2 linked regions of the Oryzias latipes genome follow. The protein of the gene in region 1 interacts with the protein of each later gene in a biochemical or structural test. Links are inferred from orthologs where the notes say so. Each region holds a gene or a part of one and is shown on either strand. Other genes may lie near its edges. The genes, in order: lbr and cbx5.

Region 1 (10,744 bases):
AATGGAAAGAGTAAGACTTGTGGCTTTGGAGAGGGTGGATTTGGAACCAACGAGAAGTAGCTCGGTTTATCACTATTGAGTTTGAGAAGGTTTAAGGTGAACCAGTTTTTGATTTCAGATAGACATGAGTGGAGGGAGGAGGGTGGAAGAGAGGAGTCAGGTTTAGTGGATACATAGAGCTGGGTGTCATCCGCAAAACAGTGAAAATTAACATTAAATTTACGGAAGATATTGCCAAGGGGAAGAAGATAAGTAATGAAAAGAAGGGGACCAAGGACAGAACCTTGGGGGACACCAGAAGAGACAGAGGAAGGCTGAGATTTAAATGATTTAAGCTGGATGAATTGGGTTCGGTCAGAGAGGTAGGATTGAAACCAACGGAGGGGGGTGGAGGTGATGCAGGGGGAGGAGAGCCTTTGGAGGAGGATGGAGTGAGAAATGGTATCAAAGGCTGCACTCAGGTCAAGGAGGATGAGGATGGTGAGGAGCCCAGAATCAGCTGCAATGAAAAGATCATTGGTGATATTCAGGAGAGCAGCCTCAGTGCTGAAACCATACTGAAAAGGTTCCAGAAGATTATTGTTTCAGATGATCATAGAGTTGAGAGGCGACTATTTTCTCTAGAATTTTGGAAATGAAGGGAAGGTTGGAAATTGGACGGAGATTATTGAATAAGTTGGGATCTGAACCGGGTTTTCAGGATGGGTTTAAAAAGTGATGGGACAGTACCAGATGAGAGTGACCAGTGAATAATGGCAGTAATGAGCGGAAGGAGAGATGGGAGGCAGGCTATAACTAAAGATGTTGGGAGGGGATCAAGAGAACAGGTGGTCGGTTTGGATTTAAGGATGACAGAGGAAATGTCCTCGTGGTCAGGCAGGCAGTTGAAAGGAGGAAAACATATGATTGAGGGGAAAAGAGTCAGGGATGGGAGGGAAGAGAGAAGAGCTAAGCTGTTGGTGGATGACATGAATTTTCTGGTCAAAAAATGACATGAGGGAGTTACAGGTTTCAGTGGAAAAGAAATGGGGAGGGAGAGAGTCAGGGGGGTTGAAGATAGTGTTCATCAGGGAAAAGAGAGTTTTTGAGTTGCCTTTGTTTGTGGAGACGAGTTCAGAAAAATAGTTTGTTTTTGTGGTAGAAACCAGGTCCTTATACTGTGTGAGATGTGATTTATAGATTTCTTTGTGAACAGTTAAGCCAGTTCTTTTATAGAGTCGCTCTAGCTGGCGACCTTTGGCTTTCATGTGACGGAGCTCTGGGGTGAACCAGGGGGCAGATTTGGAGAAGGAGACAGGGCGAGCTGGTTAAGAGAATCAGAAAGAAGGTTGTTGTAAGAGGAGACGAGTTCATCAGGGTTTGGTGTGTTAGGGATTGGAATATCACGTATGAGTGAGGAAAGTGCGTTCACATTGATGTTTTTGACATTATGAAAAGAGATGAGGCGGGAGGGTTTAGTGACAGATAAAGTGATGGAGATGTTAAATGATACAAGAAAATGATCAGTTACATGATAGATAGTTTTATTTGTATGTAAGATAATTGTTGCAATTTTTTTATGTTGTTTTCTTCTCTTTCTTTGCACCTATGTGGGACCGTTTGCAATTTCATTGTACTGTTGTACCAAGTGTGACTGTACAATGACAAGTTTTATCTTATCTCATCACATCTCTTAAAAGGTTGTGCAACAAAATATAAAGCTATGGGTACCATCGTTTTTGTCCAGCCCTATTTCATTTGTTTGTTTGTTTTAAATAATTCTGTTAATCAACAACTCAAAAGTAATGGCTAATTTTGATTATTTAATTTTCAATAAATTTTAATTTATTGTTACTTTGGAATGTTTCACGTCATTTCAGTGAACATTGTGGACTTTCTATCTTCAACTGAGGGGGACCAACTATTTGTCCACCACTGTATGTAAACAGACAGATGACACGTGAGAGTACATGTATGAAACTGTAATGGAGAACGGCGTTCTGCGGGGACAGATTCAGCCTTTGCAGACGCCGTCATCACCTACAGTCTCTATTGACATGAGAGCGGACCGCAGTGACTATCCAGCGTCCAGATCACGTGCTTCTGTTTCTGCACGCACTCCAGTATCAGTGATGAAAGTCAGGCAAGGAAAAAATCCCTGAACTTTTCTTTGAGCGATATGGCGGGCACAGAGCGAAATTTTGGAAAAATACGTGGTCTTAGATGCATTCTGGTGCATTCTGGCAGCTAGTTATTCACTTCTTTATCAAGAAACTAAGACTAATTGGAGCATCATGATTTGTCATTCAAACCCCTAGTTTGACTCTCCATTAAGGACTTGCTGGTCCTAAAAAAGAATTTGGAAAATTGCTCAAAGTAACACAATCCTACAATCTACGCTTTTCCTTAAAGCTGCAAAACATACAATTGCTAAAATATAGTAACATCAAAGCCCCAAATGGCAAAAAGAACACCAGTAACTATGATATTCTATGAAAATACCTCAGTTATTTATACATTATTTCTGCTTTAGAAATGACTGATGTACAACATCCACTTGCACTGTTTTCTCAAACTATAATTACATCAAAATATGGGATCTGCTTTAAACTATAATTCTATAACATAATACATCAATTCTTTAACACCAATACTAAGTAATCTGGGAAATATCAAAACAAACATACAAACTAAACTAAACATTGTAAACATTATTTTTTAAGGGAGTGCGGGTCCAAACCATCAAATACTTATAATTAATGTTAACTATACTGAACTAAATCATGGTAATTAGGAAATACAAATAAATTAGATAGAGAAATGTATTCAAAATAAAAACTGAAACTCAAAACTAAAATTGAAATTATTTCAAAATGTGGTTTTGAGATTATTTTACACAAAAAAGTATTTGACCTACACTACCTTAAAAATCTTTTTTTTCCAGCCAAGACCACTTCAATTTGTTTTTTATCGTCTTCTCACAACTGAGGTCGTGACCACGCTCAATAATGACGATGCCTGCCATTATTTTAACACAAATTTGATCGCAAACTCTTCAGATGTGTTTGTGAAAGTTTAGCGTGGGTCCGCCAGTTTTGGTCTCTAGGGAAGCAAGTCACGCTGACCACGTGGTGCAGACAGAGCCAATCAGACCCGTCGACGCATCCGAAAGCAACTAAAACGTCCCGTCATTGGTCAATTAGGCCGGGAAGACGAAAGATGGCCACGACCATAGAGGAAGCGATCTGCGGAGAAATATAGAAAATAAAGCTAAAATTAGCTGATTTCAGACCATTTTCTAATCCGGAAAGCGATTTGTCCGTAGAGATCAGGTCTTTATTTCCCGGAAAGTACGTTCGGTTTGCTCAAAAACCCGGATTTCCGGGAATTCCCGGAAGACTTTCATCACTGCAGTATGCAGACGGTCAAACAAATCAATCTTCACGAACTCCAACCCATCGTACCATCAGATTTCCTCAGCACCGAGTGTTCGGCGAGGGCCTTGACCCCTAACCCCCACGTCCAGATCATCATCTTCTCACCGAGCCAAAGCTCACTCACCTGAGTTTCCCCCCACCGCCAGCTCCTCAGGGGCAGCATGGCCAGAACGCACGTACAGGAAGAGGCCCAGCAGCACGGACAACAGGAAGGAGGCGGCGGCCAGCTGCAGAAAGTGGCTGTGGATGTAGGTGAGGTCAGCGCCCAGGTACACTGCTGCCGCCACCGCTGCAGCTGAGGCGGCGGTGGCGAAGAAGCCTGCAGGACACAGAATCATTCACTGCTCAGGGAGACGGGACCATACATGGAGGTTCTGATGCACCAGGAGGTTCTGATGCGCCAGGAGGTTCTGATGCGCCAGGAGGTTCTGATGCGCCAGGAGGTTCTGATACAGAACCGACAAACCACCCCGTCTGGACCTCTGCCATCGTTGTCCGTCTGAAAACGTTCATGACAGCTGGCCCCGCCCCATAAACTGCAGTCGCTGCCGTCAGACGTACCGTTGGTTCTGTACTTCAGCCTCTGTCCGGACCGCAGCGGCACGCCTTCACTCAGCTGCAGAGACACAAACCGGAGAAAACGCTGGTAAAGTTTCACATCCTCTATGGTCCCAAACCGATTCGAACCCATCAACCACTCACGGAACCAGAGAACCGAGGCAACACCCCGAGTCAGGTGAGACGAGGTAAAACAGGAAGTCGTGGGAGGGTGGGGTGGGGCCTGGGGCCAGATCGGGGGAAACCAAAAAACTCAAGAACTTTGATGAGGAACTCAAGCGGACACAGAAACAAACATCACATCAGGATTGGCCTGAATGCCCTGGACAAAGTTAGAAAAAGTTCTAAAGATTCTGTCTAATGATCCAAATGTGAGGAAAATGAGGCACTGAAGCGGTTCTGTCTGAAAAGCCTCCAGTAAAGCGTGCAGTTCTTTCACTGTTGTCATTCCGTTTTCACACCAACATCAGCTGATCTACAAACTCTAAAGGACATCCCAGAATTTCTTCAACTGCTGACACCACAGAGGAAATCATGTGGATATAGAAAAATAAACTTCCTGGTTGAATGAACGTCAAGATGAAAACAAAAAACAAAAACAGCTGCTACCCTTTTTTTGGTAGCGTTGCAGGTTGCGCTGGGCTCAGGCATATGGCCTGCGTCCAGCTGCAAGACCTCAGTCAACTTCTGGAAATGTTGGAGATGGACTGGAACTAGGGTTGGGCGATGTCCCCTAATTTGGCCGTTGACGATGTTTGCTGTCAACCATCGGGATGGACGATGACATCGTGGGGGGGGGGGGGGGGGGGGGGGTATTTTTACATTTTTCGTTCTTATATAACTGCTATTCGTTATTTTGCTTTTTTCATTTTATTTCCCAACTAATGACTAATCCGCGATGATCCAGTATAAACTGAGGGAAGTGACTTTAACAGAAAAAGTAACAAGCAAGATAGAAAATTAGTGTAGTCGCTCCCGCACTTAATTAGTGAAGTGGACCGGCGGAGCGCAGACTTAAAGCTTTGTGTTTGATGGGAAGGGGGGGGGGGGGGGGGTACATGAGCGGTATGTGTGGGAGATTTTTTTTTTTTTCAAATTTATTTTTTATTGAAAAAGCACAGGATAAATTGTACATTGTTTTGACGTGTCACAATGTTCATGCTTTCTCAGTTTTTTAATTGAAAAACAAAAAAAACAAAATAATAATAAATAAAAAAGGAACATGTGAGGAAGCAGGGAGTTTCAAAACATAAATGATATGACATGATTTCAGATGAAATCTGATCTTACCGACTTATATTCTGTCCATATAGACCAAGTAGGGGGTCTAAGGGCAGGGATGCCAGTATAGCTTAGTCAGTTTGTTAGTTCATTTGAGTATTTTTCTATTGAACTCTTTGTATTCGTGATCCTTTTGATTTCATGTTTTACTTCGAAGCCCATCGAGACGACTGTTGTTGTGATTTTGGGCTATACAAATAAATTGAATTGAATTGAATTGAAGTAGCGTAAAAAGCATCCAGCCGTATTTGTAAAGAGTGTGAGATTCTTTCCATTATGTAAATTCTTTGTACCACATCAATCCAGTCCTCTGTCGTTGGTTGTTCAGGTTTAAGCCATTTTCTGGTTATTGCTTTCTTACTGGCTGTCATGAGAATGTAGAGTAGTTTCTTATTTTTGTTGTCTAGGCCATCAATTTTACTCAAAAACAGACTTTCAAAAGACAAGGGGAAAACAATAGAAAACACATTTTGCAGATGTTCATGTATGTCAGACCAATACTTCTTGATAATCACACAGTCCCAAAATATATGGAGTGTGGGAGATTTAAGACTGCGATCCGTCCCGCAGCTCTAGGGGTACAAGCAACCGAACTCAGAACCGGGTCTAAAAGTGTGTCTGAGCACAGCTCGGATCGTCAGCAGACACACAGCGGTTTGAGCATCAAAGCAGAAATGTCGCTCAGTCCTTAGAAAACATTCAAACAATCACGCCGATTTGTGTTTCCAGTCGTGTCCCGACTAAATAAAGGCTGATGTTATTCTTACATGTTTACGTGCAGCCAGCAAGCAGCACCACCCAAAGCTAATGTTGTTAGCCCGTGTTAGCATACTGCTAATCCTGGCTCCGTTCAGAATAAGCTCTGACCACACGGATTAAAATTCAAATGATGAGCGAACAGGTGTTTCATAATAACCGTAACATTATTAAAAGCACGTTTAGAAGATCGTCTCGTATTTTACCGAGCTGACATGTCGATGTATATAACCGCTCGGTGCTGTTATCGTTTTGTATTGAATTGTTACATACAATAAAGTTTGGAAAAAAAGCCGCTCGGCGGAAGTTGTATCCCCTTCCGGTTTTCAAACTGCGCATGTGCGAATGATTTATTCCGACCGAAATTGTGACCTTAGTGAACGTTTGTTATATTCTGAAAACATTTTTCTGGGCCCATGTACACGGTTGGATTCTAATCCGACCATTGATCCCATCAAGATATTTTGTACATGTAACCGCGGCTTATGATGTCGACACGCAACGTGGCGGGGGCGTGGCATCACGATGGTGGTCTCTCCATCGGGATGTCAGTCATCCATCACGATGGACGATGATATCGTCCATCGGCACAACCCTAACTGGAACTTCACCTCCCCTTGTGGGATTCATAAAGTAGAATTGAATTGAAAAGAAGACTAGATGTCTGTTACTATGACAACCAGATGTTTGGGTGCAGAGTCAGGATCTGTGCAGCTCCGTGTCTGCGGGACTCAGAACCACCTCAGAAAAGTCAAACATTTGTTCCTGCAGATTCTTCAGAACATCGGCTCCACTCGGCCTGATCGTGTCTGGAAGCCGCTGGACAAACGTCCTGACACGGATACTGGAACCACTGCTCACCTTTCCAACAGGTAAAACGTAGAGCAGAGCCTGGAACAAGATCCACAGGAAGACCAAGCCCACAGCCTGCGGGTCCCACAAGCTCTCCAGGGGGGGCAGAGGCGGGGGGAAGTTAGTCAGGCTGGGGTCCTTCAGTCCAGCTTGAAGGAGGACAAACAGAACCCAAACAGGCAGGAACAGCAGCCAGAACACGGAACCTGGATGAGGGAGGACAGCCAAGTCAGGTCCACCCCCCCCATGAAGACGTGACTTTCTTTACAGCTGAAAGTTGAGTTTTAACCCCCCCCATGGAGGCTGGTTGATGTGCACATCTGAAACCAGGAGTCATGTGACACAAAGTTCATCCGTTTCCCCTCACAGAGCGCTACCCAGAAGGTCCCTCACCCATCTTTCCTCGGTAGTCCGGCGGGACGGGAACCGGAGCTGCAGGACCCTCCTCAGACCTTTTCTCCTGCGGCTGTTGAAGTCTGGCCTCGGGGGCTGCGTCCTCCCTCCTGCGGCGCAGGTTATAACGGCTTTGGCTCCTGTCAGGCTCCGCCTCTGCCCTCTGAAGCAAGGACAGAGAAACAGGACGCTGCAGGACACGTGGGGCGAAAACAGGACGACCTTTGACCCTTCTGTGCCATCAAACAGCTGCTCGGGTCTGAATCACATGACCACAGCCAGGTACTGTGTGTGGGGGGTTATAGAAGGAAAATGTTTACGTTCTATGTATTCTTTGCTGTTCCTGTCAGAGTTCCACTGTTCTACGGTGATCCCTGCTGCTTCTTCAAAAGGTTCTTTAAATTTATTCCGTACAGACGCCCGGTTCCATGCGGATGCCTTACCTTGCTGTCGGCGTTGTTGTCTTTGTCCTGTGTCTTGTTGCTGTTCTGGTCTCCTTTGTTTAGCTGCTGTAAAGCAAAGCAGAGGTTAAATGTTGGGAAAACATTGGAGGACGGTTCTGCAACAGGAGAGGCTGTGGAACCAAGATAGGTGAACATCCGGATTGTTAGACACTAGGGCTGCACGATATGAGGAAAACTCGCGATATGCGATATTAGTGATTAATATTGCGATAACGATATAATTTGCGGTATATAAACAAATAGCAAAACAACCAAAAACATCATTTCCATTTCACTGCAACAGTTTAAAAGTTATACTCCAAATGACCCTTGTCGACATAGGAGGCAAACATCAAACATAAAAGGGCTCATCTGATTGATCAACAACGTTAACGGGTCCTTCCGATTGGTTAAACGCATAAATGGATTTATTTGATTCATTAAATACTTCAAGCTGCCGTGAGTTTGTTTTAGCACATTTAAGCTAACCATTTATTGCGATTTTCGCCGTCTTTTGCGGTATGCATATTGCACAGCTTGATGTTGCGATAACGATAAATTTGCGGTATTGTGCAGGCCTATTGGACAGTATTTTTACAAACTGACTTTTAAGGTTTGGCAGATAAATACAGTAGAAAGAAAGATACTTCTTAAATATAATTGCAGTAATCCTCTGTGTTGGCAACTTTATTAGCACGTCCTTGTAACGCTGGATACGTTGTCGTATGCTAGGCAGAACAGGTTTGGAACGTGGAATTAAACTGGTTTCTTTTCATTGTCGTCCGTTTTTTCACATTTGTGTTTGGTTGGCTTTGATAGCTTAGAGGTTTCTGTTAAGGGTTTCCGCTTTAAAGTCATGGAAAAGAACTAAACACGCGACGACGGAAAACGTCTCCACACGCATGAGGATAGTTACAGACATGGAGGACAGAACCTGAGAGTTTCAAAATAAAACTTCCTTCAGAATTCAATCCTAGCTAAAATGTTTGTTACAATGGAATAGAGCGACACAGGTGTATGGTTGGGGGGGGGGGCGCACGTTTCAGACCATCTGACCTCTGTATTTCTGGTTTCTGCCCCGAGCTGCAGAAGGAACAGCTGAATCTCAGAAAAACAATCTGACCACAAAACGGGTTTGGGTCCCACATGAGAGAAAAGAAACAATAAAATCAGATTCTCCGTTTTTTCTCTCTCACCATCTTTAGCTTTCAAACCCAAAGTCCCCGACCAGAGAACTTACCGGCGGGCTGAGGCTGCCCTCCATGCCGTCTTTCACCTTTGCATCCCTGTCAGAGGGGGGGGGCTTCTCTGCTACCGCTGAACGAGAGGATGAACGGCGAGTGGTCCTCGCAGGAGAGCGCGAGCGGCTGCGACGGCGTCCCGGCGACCGAGAACGGGAGCGAGTGCGGTTCTGGAAAGACGAGATATTCTAAAAGAAACAAGGGCGTCAGGTGAGGAGATGACTGAAAAATTCCCATAAACATGCTGAGCACAAACTCCCACCATGACGTCCTGCTCCTTGAGCTCCAGCTCCGTCTTGTCCTTGTAGATGACAGTGTACAGCCGGCTGGCGGCGTCAAAGCTCAGCACTTGAACCTCGTAGTACAGCGAGCTACCGGGCCAGCGGCCCATCACTTTGTCCCCTTCCTGGAACCTGGCAGTGGGCATCCTAACAAGAGTGAGGGGCGTGAGGGGAAGCAGAGGAAAGAGGCCTGACAGGAGACTGCAGCCACATGGACCAGACACTGCAGAAACACCACGTGGGGACTGGAACGCGTTTGGAAGCTGGACATTTAAAAAGGTTCAGGCTGAGCAGCTTAAGGTTCCTGCTGAGCTTCAGGAGCAAAAACAGATGGAATCCGTAAAAGAAGCTGCTAGTTTATGATAAACAGAAACATCCTCAGACGCTGCCTGAGACGTCTGTCTGATTCACCTCATTCCCAAAACCACCACAAGCAAATGTCCAGAGAGTTCCTGTCTAAGCTACCTCCAGCTTTAGAAGTCCAAACTAAAGGGGAACGTCCAAAAAACAATGGGGGGGGGGGGGCACAGCTGTTTCAGCATTATCCCCCCCCCCCCCCCCCCCCCCCCCCCCCCCCAAAAAAAGCAACAAAAAAAAAACTGCTGACGGGTCTGTCCCGCGTCACACAAAGGGGGACAGTGACAATTCTGAAACAGAAAACACACACGGTGCAAAACATTTACCTTCCACAATCCCATGTCGACTCAACCGACCTTCAAAATAAAGTTCTACGCTAAACCTCCGCATTTCAGAATAAAAGCTTTACACTGAAAGACACCAAAAACGGACCATTCAAAACAAAGATCCGGTTCTAAGTCACCGGTAGCTCCTCGAGATGCAACGGACACACCCAAAGAGAGCGCGCGCTCTGTCTGTCACACCGGACCCCGCACGCTTAACGGCGCCGGTTCACGGAAAATCTGAGGTGCTACGGGAGATCAGCCGACCTCAACCCTTAAAGACATATTTTTTACTGCAATCCATAAGCCAAAAAATGTGCGTGTAATTAAATTACATCCCAACAGTTCAAACCAACAACAAGGCGCTACAAGGATTTCACATTTGAACGAGTCAACAGGTTCATTTGGTCCATTTGGATTGTGAGGTTTCTGACAGCAGGTTGCAGATCGTGAGCGCCAAAAGCTCTGCGTGTTTCTTTAACTGAACCTTCATCCGTCCTGATGCAGCAGGACGGAAAGGAGGGAAAACGTCATGCGTTCAAACCGACAACAAACCAAACCGGCCGCCGAACAAACTACACGCGCGCGCACGACACCACCGAGACGTCAACCCTTCAGAGAACGCGTGAAAACAACGAATAAACCTGTTTCTGGACAGTAGAACCCTCCATGTTCTACATTTCTGGATATTTCAGTTACAGGCGCCGTCTAAACTCTGGCTCGCCTTCAGTTGCACATATGAAAGCAGATCAGGCTGTTTACGGTTCAGATTAAAGTGTCTACAACTCTCCGGAAACATCCAGGATGAATAAACGCGGTAACCTAACGTCTGGGAAGCGAACC
Region 2 (11,183 bases), on another chromosome or scaffold:
GGCAGTCCCTTTCTCACCCAAGCTGCACAGTGGCTCCCCCAACGCTCATTAGGTGTAATGTGCAGCATAAAGACCCACCTCTGCTGTGCGTAATACCCCAAGGAACTAATTTGTACAAGAAGGTACAGGTAAAGGGGAATTTTCTTTTCTGACTTTTGATTGTTGCAAATAACTAAATACATTTACAGCAACACATAATCACCACTGAGACAACTATTTCCAACACAAGTGTCTAAGAAAATAACCAGTGAAACCGCAATGCAATGAATCGACTCTGTTCTGAAAAGCCAACACCTCCCAGGTAAACGTGCCACCAACTGCTCCCAGTTGATTCTTCCCAGGTACAGCACATTCCTCTCTATCTGCACAAACCACATTTTCTTCAGAGCTTTAACCCCAGTGATGCTTCGCTCTGTATTCCCACAGATAACATACCAGGAATGAGTCTACATCTGTGCTTGCCACACATGGCTTTGGCTGAGCTCCAATGAGCACCGCAGTGGTTTCCCATCCAAACCCACTGGCCTGCGTTTGTCAGTGGAGAGCTCCAGGCTGGATACAACAGCTCGCTGCTCCCCTCCTTTCACCCAGCTTAATGGTCCCAGGGGCTGGATATTTACTACTGACCTTTGCATTCCATTTGCAGAGTAAAAGCTCTTTTGTGAGGAAAATTCCATCATTTTCAACGTAACCCAGCAGCACTTTGCAGATGTGTGTGTGTATGTGTGTCAAGCAGAGGGTCTAAAAGGCACCACCAAAGCGAAAAAAATCAAAGACAAAAAAAGACTCAAAACATATTATTTTAAGAGCATTTTTATTATTATTTTAAACATGACTGGAATTCACTTTACGGGGAAGTTAGTCATTAAGGATTGCCATTTTCTAATTTTAAAAATCTAAAGTGGATTTTGTACTATTTCTATAATGTGCATTAAATCAATGGCAAAACCTTAGCTGTCCAATTTGACATGTTTCCTCACTGATTCCTTTGCCGCCTTAGAAGAAAGGCTGCCTTTCAGTGTTAAGTTGTACATGTTTTACAGGGTGTGCGCCGTGTTTGCATGCAACATGTGAATGTCAGAACACAAAATGTGCCCATAAAAAGTTTCACAGAAAAATTGTACACATTTTGCACACAATGATTCTACTGGAACCTGAAGAAAAAAAAAAACACTTTTGCGTTGGAATTGGTTAATACTGCCCTCTGCTGACAAACGGCAGTAAATAGGTTTTTGATGTGTGATTCTAAAATTGCATTAAATCTATAAAGTATATATATATATTTTTGTCAGTTTGCAGGGTAATGTTATGAAAAATGTAATTTATACTGTAAAACGAAGTGAACACATGAAGACCTTGAAACACTCAAAATGTTTATTAAAGGATGCTACTATACATGTATACTTGGAACATTTCTCTCACACAATAAACTACTGACTTTAAAAAATGTATATTGTCAAAAGGTAAATAAAACCCATATTTACATTAAAAAATGTGCTGGCAAGGAAATGTATGGGTAGTATCAAAAGGAAGATGACAGCATTTCTTATCAGTTAAAAACAAGCAGTCTGTGAATCTGCAGACATTTGGTCCAATGCTTCTCTGCAGGCTGCAAAACCAGTTTCAATCTTCAACAACAAACCATGTATTTATCAGGGTTAGTCACCTTAAAATTCAAACTAATGAACAGGTGATAAGGAGCTATTCAAACAATATTTTTTGTAATTCATTAAAACTACTGAAGCTTTTTAGCAGGGGGAGCATGGAAAAAGAAATGCAAATAAATAAATCTAGTCTTTATTGTTGACCACAGTATTAATTTCAGTTATCAAAGTGGCAGCTAAGTTTCTCCTTTGAATGCTAGCTGAATTTTATTTTGAAAGGGCGCAAGATCACACAATTCATGCAAATTAAAAGTAAAAAAAAAAAAAATCATTCAAACAATGATTGGGATATGATTAAAAGTACAGAATGGAGAAAAAAATGTCTTTATTGTATTTTTTCTTCTTCTGGCAACACTGTCAAAAAAAACAGAAAGAAAAAAACCGCAAAACAATCATTTGACGAAACAGCACAAATTAAAACCAATATACATCACTACACAGACGTGCACCTACATGACTAAACAGGTGCACCAGTCTTCTCAACTGCAGGCCAATCCAGCTGCCATGTCATTAATTCAGCTTTCACAATTATCATAGTTTTTACATTTAAATTTCATGAAGGTGATCATGTCCCTTTTGAAGCATGTTATGGTGATGGATGTCAAAACATGAAACAGATGAATGCTTCAGGAAGATGAATGATCAATGGAATCCTGAACATCAGATCAACATCTACTCATTGGGACAAATATTTAGGATTTTTTTCTTACCTTAATCTGAAACAAAAATATTAAACTACAACAAAGAGAATTGATGGCAGAGTAGACGTCATGATCAAATGATCGCACATGTTTGAGCGTTTGGTGAGAGTGGCCCTGTTAAAAATTACCGGTTACAAATATTAAAAAAAAAAAAAAAAATAGAAACAGTGGGGAAAACGATTATTAAACACGTTTAAAAATGAATCAGGTGTGATATCTGCTGCCTAAAGGGGTAAAAAAAGAAAGATAAGTGAATAGCTTCAACATTTTCCTGTCAAAGAAAAGATGTGCACTGTTTACAACACAATGATGGGGATCGGGAATTCCCCCCTAAACCGTCAAATCTGGTACTTGGGTCTGGATTTGCAACTTTAACAGATGGCCACCAGTAATAGTTTCTCCAGATTTCTTCCTAGTAACATTTTTATGCAAGCACTTTAAAAAACAGGGAAAAGATAAAGACAAAAATGTTAAGATATTACAAAAAAAAAAAAAATCAATACAAAAACAGTAGAAACATTGCCCAGTAGCATATCACCCAGGTCCACTAACAAACAGCTTTCTATTTGATGGATCCTTTACAGAGTCTGGGCCCTTGTGCTCAATGAGGCATGAGTGGAGAAAACAACAAAAGGGATGCACTGTTTTTGTTTCACTGTTGGACAAAGTGAGGGATGGAAGTTTGGGAGAAGGAAAACAAAAAGTCCAACAGAATGTTTTCCCTGCAGTGGAGGTTTCCTCCAGAGGTGTTGCACTCAAGCACTGACAGCATCCTTCTCCTTCTTGTCACCGTCTTCGTGCCAGGTGAGGCGCTCCTCGTAGAAGGCTATGACGATTTGTGGACACTTATGATTGGCCTCCTTGGCAAGAACAAGATCCGCCTCGTCTGAATCTTTCCTAAAAGAGGGTAAAGCTTGAAATATTTTTGCACCACACTTCACTAACTTAAGTCCAAATAAGGCATTGTGGGATTTCATAAACAAGCTGTAGGCGGTTGCACTCTATCCTAGTCTCTGTGAAATGGCATTTCACTGTTATATTTCTAAGAGGTTCATTTACACTGCAATTTAACCATGTATTGAGACAGCATCAAGTGTTCTATCATAAAACCAAATAAAATGGGTAAGTTGGCAAGACAAACTTTTCATCTGGTGCAACAAAGGTATAGTCAGACTTCATCACAGGTGTTTTTATTTGTTCTTTCGCTCTAGGATTAAAACTGATCACAGAGAATTTTCTATAAATCATAGCAAATGAGAACAATTCTAAATTCATGATTATTTTTATGGATTTGTAAATTTATTCAAAGTAAAAGTATCAAGTCTGCAACTCAAATATGAGTCCAGAACCAGGCATGAGTGATGGTGCACTGCGTATATCCATCTAGGTAATAAGAGATAACATTAATTTTATGGTTTGGCTTCCTGTTCATCTATGGACAGACAGCCCGGTTACTGAAGTTTCTAATGGGTGATTTGCCCAGTTAACCGACACAGTCAAAAGCCTTTTTTTTTTAAGAGTCATTCCCTTCCATGTTGCAGTCAACAGTAAAACAGTCTGTGGTGATTGCACCTAGCGGAGCAGCAATTTCACACCAGATCATCATAATCATCATCATCCCAACAACAAAACTTACCATTTCATGAGGAACATTAAGTCTCCGCATGAATCAGTGGCTCCAATGATTTTCTCTGGCTCAAGTCCTCTTTCAAAGCCACGGGCTACTAGAATTTCCTCCTGTAAGAAACAAAGAAAAAAAGTTCAAACCTGAGGAAATGTTTAAAACTGTTTGTTTTTGTCTTTTGATTCTGTGCTTTAACCTCATATTTACACTTTACTGCTCTACTGGACAAATGCCGTCAGATATTTTATTGAAATTCCTTCTGTGTATAAACAGATTAATACTTTGCTTGTTTTTGCGGTAATCATTTTCAATATGTCTTATTGGTTTATGTATTATAAACAATTTTTTAATCCATGTCTAATTGATTTTAGTTTCTTTTAGCCCCCCAAATATTACTTTTATTGGATTGTATGTAGAATTGTGCTGAAAAGGCTGATTATTTGTACAAGGTGCAAAATGACAGAAGTAAAGCACTGAACACATACAGACAGATTGAGCATGTTGACATGCACATCAACTAGTTGATCGCCTGACTTATTGACCTTTTGTAATTTTCAGGACGCCACAAAAACAGGATGCGAGATCAAGACATGTGGATTTCTCAATGGTGAAGTGTACTGGCACATATCAACAATTGTATCTTCTAAAAATAAATAATTATATGTCTAAAACGTGTGTTTCAAACTTAAAGGCCACGGGCCGCATGCAGCCCGGCATGCAATTATATTCGGTTAGCATGATCGTTTTATATTATTGGTAATTACGGCATGGCGATATGAAGCGCTGGTAAAATTCAACTACAGATCCCACAATGCAGCGCTTCAGCTGCCTTGCCGAACACTTCCCACGTCAATGAAGTCTAGTTTATGATGCTGCAAGTGATAGTGAAGCTGGCCCTCTGTCGGTGCAAAAGTGAAAAGTTAATCCTGGAAATGGGCTTTTCAAACTGATGGGAGGCAGAATATGTTTACTGACATTGTTGATAAATTTATGCGTCTCATTTGTGGAGCTAATGTGGCTGTATTCAAGGAATTTAATCTTTAGACAGCACTATGAGGCAAAACATCAAATCCGTACTTTGCTGATAAACTGAGCGCATCAAGTTCGACCGGCCCTTTGGTGATTATGAATAACAAAAATGAATTTTTGAGTTGCTTCACAAACCATTTGCCGTCTATGTTGAAACTGCCCCTGTACAGATTCAGATGGAGCAGAGTGAGCTGCAGAGTGAAAGCACACTGAAGGCAAAGTACGACACTGCAGGACCTGCACAGGTTATGAACGCCATTCCTGCAGAAAAGCAGTTTCACCCTTGTGCGTGTTTGGTAGCACCTTTCTGTGTGAGAAGCTCTTCTCAGTGATGAAGACTAATAAAACAGCACGCAGATGATGTCTCACAGATGAGCAAAATGTAAGTTTTTTATAAAGTCATTCAATAGTAAAGAAAACTGAATGTTTTTTTTTCTTTTAACATTTACTGTTAAAAGAAATATATTTGTCATATTTATGTTGAAAAGAAGTTTTAAAAGTTTATAAAGTACAGTGTTATTGTCAGCGACCTAAAGTGGGTTTTGGATTTTTGCCCATCCTGTGCCATCAAGTTTGACATCCCTGGTCTAAAAGAAACTAGGGAAACGAAAGATAAAGAATTGACATGTACTGTTGTAAATATCTCTCCCTTGCTTATTAACATTTCGTTATTTAAATGTAGATCTGGAAAAAATAAAATAGATAAATTCTAAGAACCTTGCATAAAGTACAGTAACATCCTAACAAACAAACTAAACTTTATTATAAAGGGGAAAAACAACAAAAACTCATTTTTCCTCATTTATCTTGACAGCCTAGAAAACAGTGAATCCAAACATTGCATATACATAAATCTCACCTCTTTCTTCTTTTTAGGTTTACTTCCACCCTCTTCGTCTTCCTCCTCCTCATCATCTGAACCTTTTTTCTTTAAGCTCCCGGATTCTTTGGAGCGACCCGATGATCCTGTGTTGACTTTGCTGGAACCAGTGCTAGGTGTGGCACTCCCACTGCCTGGTTTTTTGTAGGTTTTCATGAATTCTGCAATAAGCTCAGGGCAATCCAAGTTCTTCTCCGGCTCCCAGGTGTTGTGCTTCCTGTAAAGGAAAACCATCCAAGTAACTCAAGACAGTTGCATAATCACAATAGTAACAAACAAAGAGAAAACACACCCAAAATAAAAACATTAAAACCGCGGTGCACACAGCTACATAACCCTTAACATTACATTGCACGTCTTTATGCGGTTTAAGTAATATTGTATTATTGCAATTACAATAGAATTGCTAACAGATTGGCGTTTTTTGTTTTTTACTTACTCTGAGTATCCTTTCCACTTTAGGAAGAATTCAACTCTGCCTTTCACGACTCTCCTGTCCAGCACCTTTTCCACGACATATTCTTCTTCGTCAGACGATGAGGATTTCTCTTCGCGAGACTTCTTGCCCATTGCAAAGTTTGGTATTTATAGCACGCTGTCACACACACAGGCCGTTAGCACTTCCTTGATCCAAAAGAAGAGAAGCCAAAGTTTAAATAACAACCGATCATCTTGGCACAGTATTTCCAGATGCGTTAATACGCACAGATCAGACGTAAATAGATAATTAAAAAAAGGATATACTTTGAATCAGAAAAGAAGATATGATAATATACGCGTTAGCATTTGATCGACGCTAACACAGAAATTGTCGTGCATAACACACTCGAGCATAACAGCAACTAAATTATTATACGAATAAAAATCACATCTGCAAGTATTTCACATAACACTTGTTCTTTTAACGAAGATAGCCCTAAGATTACAACAGGTAAGAAAACAAAACAAGCATGGGGCACGACGAACTGAGCTCTGCTAACGGTACTAGAAGCTAGACAAGATAGCATGTAAGCGAACCCCAAGCTAACTTGCCACTTTTACAGTTCAAATCACGAATCGTTATTTAAAGTAAAAACACAATATCGATAAATTAACAGTGCGATTACTTTAGGATGATCGGGCCGTCAGTTTTAGTGCGTTTTTTGCAGCGTTATCTTGCGTCTTTTGTGCAGCAGCTATCAGTCTACCAGTCTACCGGAGCTACGTTAGCATGTAGCTTAAATCACATAAAGGTGCTGAGCGGAAAAAGCGCGCGTTAAAAGCACACAATGAATGAACCCGCCTCCCGGTCAGCTGATAACCAAGAAACCAGGCAGGTTAGCAGCAAGGGTCTCAATCCATGGTATTTACTTACTGTAATAGTAATGTGTAAAATTATATGTTTTGTTATTAGACGTTTAATGTACGCTGACAAAGAAACATAATGCCTTACATATAAACAAAGCTCCAAACTATTAATTAAATAGCTAAAAATGTAATAACAAAAGTGTGTGTTGTGTCCTTTAAAATTTGTGTAATTCTTTCTTTATACTTTTTATTTTGTTTAGATAAAAAAAGTAGCTGTACGACCATTCAAAACTAATCTAGTTTAATGTTATGATGGTGATCCAAATTGATGCGGTTTATTGGCCCCAATCTATCATTTCATTTTTATTCAGATAAAATGTCACTATGTCTGCGAAAGCATCCTGTTTTCTCCCATTCCTCCTCCGTTTTTACACACTGCATTATCCTGCTCGGGGATTGGATTAATTGAATGATTGATAGGACGTAAGCCAATCAAAACTCACCTTTCTCTGAGGAAATACTACAGCGGGAACAACTGACCAATGACTGTGTAAAAAGGGGGCGTTCCTTTCCCCATTTTATCCTAGCGTTTGACTGCTGCCTGATCTTGTCTGGCGCAGATCGCTGCGTGGTTGTTGTGTCACTAGGAGTTTCCGACAAAATACAGCAAGATGTCGAAAGATGTAAGTCTTTGTATTCTGAACGATTCAAATTATTTAGCTGGTCCAGTTTCGTCAAATGGCTTCAATGGTTTAGATTTGGGCACGTTGTCTCGGTCGAAACAGCCCGTCTTCGCTGCAGAAGCTTTCTTTTCCTTATGCCGCCATTTTGTAACAACTGGGCCTCGTGGCCTATTGTTGGTTACAGGTAAACGAAATGAATCGAATGATATTAATATGAGTCACTGGTTATCGTTATTTCGATTAACCGCAATATTAACAACCTTAGGCGAACATATTTTTGCAAAAAGTCGAACAATCTGCAATCGTTGATCGCTAATGGCGGCGATGTCTGCACCACCCAACCCTCCTGCTGTTGTTGTTTTTGACGCTGGATATGTTCTGGAAATAGAGACGAAAGTCAATGAGTGGACTTTCGTTTTCAAAAATGTGTTTTTAACTCATAGTGTTTGAACTTGCGGCAACCTCTTGTTGACGTCTTCATCTATTGTTTAGGTCCCACGTGAGCCAGAGCAGCTTCGCAAGCTCTTCATTGGAGGCCTGAGCTTTGAGACAACAGACGAGAGCCTCAGAGCTCACTTTGAGCAATGGGGTACCCTGACAGACTGTGTTGTGAGTCATTTTCACAAGATGTGATTGCTATCATCCAAATTGAATTGGCTTTAAAGTATTTCATTTTTAGGTGATGAGGGATCCAAACAGCAAGAGATCCCGGGGTTTTGGCTTTGTGACCTACTCCTCTGTCCAAGAAGTTGATGCAGCCATGTCCGCCCGTCCACACAAGGTTGACGGACGGGTGGTGGAACCCAAACGAGCAGTTTCTAGAGAGGTATATTATATGACTAGACGTAAATCTGATTTCTTGTTCAAAGTATAACAAATGTTTTGGTGTGCAGGATTCAAATCGTCCAGGCGCTCATATTACAGTGAAAAAGATCTTTGTTGGAGGGATCAAAGAAGACACAGAAGAGTCCCACCTGAGGGATTACTTCCAACAGTTTGGCAAAATTGAAGTCATTGATATCATGACTGATCGGAACACTGGAAAGAAGAGGGGCTTTGCCTTTGTCACCTTCGACGATCACGATTCTGTTGACAGGATTGTCAGTGAGTACTAGTGGTATCTGATCTAGAATGGGAAAGCCCTGTAAGATTTTCATAAAAATTGAAACATGCCTTTTTATTCATAGTCCAGAAATACCACACAATCAATTCCCACAACTGTGAGGTGAGGAAAGCCCTGACCAAACAGGAAATGCAGACTGCTGGAATGGGAATGAGAGGTGGCCGCAGCAGTGGGAGTGGAAGACCCTATGACTACGACAGAGGCTTTAACCAAGGTAATGTGGGTTGTAGTATTTTTTTTTTAAATCATTGGGTCTGTAAGACAGCCATAACAAGTTTTGGGTTTTCTTCTTATTTTAAGGTGGACGGGGCAGATATGGAGATGGTCCTTACAACGGCAACGGAGGCGATGGCGGTAAGTGCAGCATACTAGATAAATTGTTTTTTTATTTTTAATTTACGAACATCTGAAGACTTAAGGTTGTTTGATGCAGGTTATGGAGGTGGGCCCGGTGGTCCTGGGGGCTATAACAGTGGCAACCGTGGGTACAACCAGGGCTACAACCAAGGTGGTGGAGGATATGGTGGAAATGGTTATGATAGCAATGGTTATGGTGAGCAACAACAACCCCGTCCCTCCACCCCCCCCTTTTTTAGGATGAGGTTGTCACTAATCATTTTTATCTACCATTTTCAAGGAAACTGTGGCAGTGGCAATAACTACAACAACATGGGTCACTATGACCCGCAGGCTTCCAACTTTGGTCCAATGAAGAACAACTTTGGTGGTGGTGGTGGAGGAGGAGGCAGAAACTTCGGTGGGTATTTGGATTTGGTGAAAACACACCAACACAGAAGTATTTTAACCCTCACCTTGTGTGTTGATTGTTTTTCTGTCTTCCAGGTGGATATGGCGGTGGATCAAACAATGGCGGTGGCTATGGCCGTCCTGGACGATTTTAAGTTTCTAAGGGGTAAGCTTCTGTAGACATAAACTTGCTGTTACATGTCGTAAAACCAGAGTTTATCATTTTAGGGAATGATTAAGTGTAGCTAACTTTAAACGAATTCACTCTGGATGTCAGGACTTATGAAGACAGTGCACAGTTAACAATGTTGTTCCATATTGTTCAACAGGACTGAGTACTTAGGAGAGGAGAGCAAGGAGAGGAGAGCAAGCGAAGTGACAGGGCAGCTGCAGGTTTACCTCCTAAATCTGCTCAGCCAAACAGTTGTGGCAGGTTACAGCTGCTACAAGAAGAGATGTACAGTAGATAAATCATGGAGGGCCTTCATTTAAAATTTGTCTTCTGTTTTTCTTTCATCATATGTGTTTTTTTTGGAAAGCAAGCATTCCAATGAGGGTTTTATGTTTATCTTTAAGTCTGGTTTTTATTTGTAACTGCATCAACTCAATCTGAAATAAACCACCTTTCAGTTTTTTATAAAGTCTCGTTAGCCTCTTTAGTGGTCTGGGTGAAGGGAGGGTTGACACTTAAACGGGGAAAAGGGCCACTTTTTGTCAAGCTCTGGAAAAGGCAATTTCCCAGTGGTGCGCAAATGTTATCTTCAAAAAGGCCGTGACTTGGCTCAGACAACTTCGAATTCTGCAAAGATCATCTCGAGGAGGCTAGCTTACATGCAAAGTCTATGAGGCTAGCCATGGAAGCAAGCTAAGGGAGAGAAGTAGCAAAGCCATCGCCAGGATCATTGAAGCAGGGGAGAGTGAGAGCAGAAGCCTGAGGCTAGCAGGCAGCAGCTACCAAAAGGCTTAAATGCTGTCTGTAGGTAAGACCAGACTTTCAACTACTGATGGTGTTTTCTCTTTTTGCCTTTTAAGCTGGTAGTGAGTTTTGTAGCCCAGTAATGACATGGCTAAAAAAAATACCACTTGATCAAAAATTGATCTCTTGCAGTGCAAAGAGGTCCACTGTAATTTGCATGCAGTCAATACAGGTTACCTTTGAGCAATGCCTTATACTTTTATTTTGTTTTGCATTTCAGGTGATTTCCAGCGGTATCCAGCACTACAAAAACATCATTTCTGTGAGAATGGCCCAGGTACAAGAAAGTGAATCTGCTGGTTGGTTTGTGGCAATATTTATTGAACAAAGATTATTTTCTTCCACAGGTTAGCTGAACTGTCGTGCTAACGCTGAAGTATTCTTTTTAAATTTTTTTTTACAGTGCTTAAAACTGCTGTGCAGTTTGATTTTTACTTTTTTATTCTTTTTTTAAATAAAATATTTTATC

The links.
Region 2: the proteins of lbr (region 1) and cbx5 form a complex in vitro, tested with the Homo sapiens proteins (2 studies listed by BioGRID, with this or other methods). The link is inferred for Oryzias latipes from reciprocal best matches to the Homo sapiens genes LBR and CBX5.

Annotation. Positions count from the first base shown.
Region 1 is NC_019882.2:329,306-340,049, forward strand, and holds part of lbr (lamin-B receptor), read right to left. Parts: intron 9,369-10,744; 5' UTR 9,368-9,368; coding exon 9,203-9,367; intron 9,129-9,202; coding exon 8,940-9,128; intron 7,766-8,939; coding exon 7,700-7,765; intron 7,447-7,699; coding exon 7,257-7,446; intron 7,070-7,256; coding exon 6,873-7,069; intron 4,033-6,872; coding exon 3,978-4,032; intron 3,736-3,977; coding exon 3,541-3,735; intron 1-3,540. UniProt on the Homo sapiens protein: Catalyzes the reduction of the C14-unsaturated bond of lanosterol, as part of the metabolic pathway leading to cholesterol biosynthesis.
Region 2 is NC_019865.2:12,830,679-12,841,861, forward strand, and holds cbx5 (chromobox protein homolog 5), read right to left. Parts: upstream 7,567-11,183; 5' UTR 7,005-7,566; intron 6,523-7,004; 5' UTR 6,469-6,522; coding exon 6,338-6,468; intron 6,116-6,337; coding exon 5,878-6,115; intron 4,103-5,877; coding exon 4,002-4,102; intron 3,263-4,001; coding exon 3,121-3,262; 3' UTR 1,353-3,120; downstream 1-1,352. Other genes in the region: heterogeneous nuclear ribonucleoprotein A1, read left to right, coding at 7,857-7,868, 8,361-8,477, 8,548-8,694, 8,762-8,972, 9,056-9,205, 9,292-9,345, 9,425-9,544, 9,629-9,748 and 1 more. UniProt on the Homo sapiens protein: Component of heterochromatin that recognizes and binds histone H3 tails methylated at 'Lys-9' (H3K9me), leading to epigenetic repression. In contrast, it is excluded from chromatin when 'Tyr-41' of histone H3 is phosphorylated (H3Y41ph).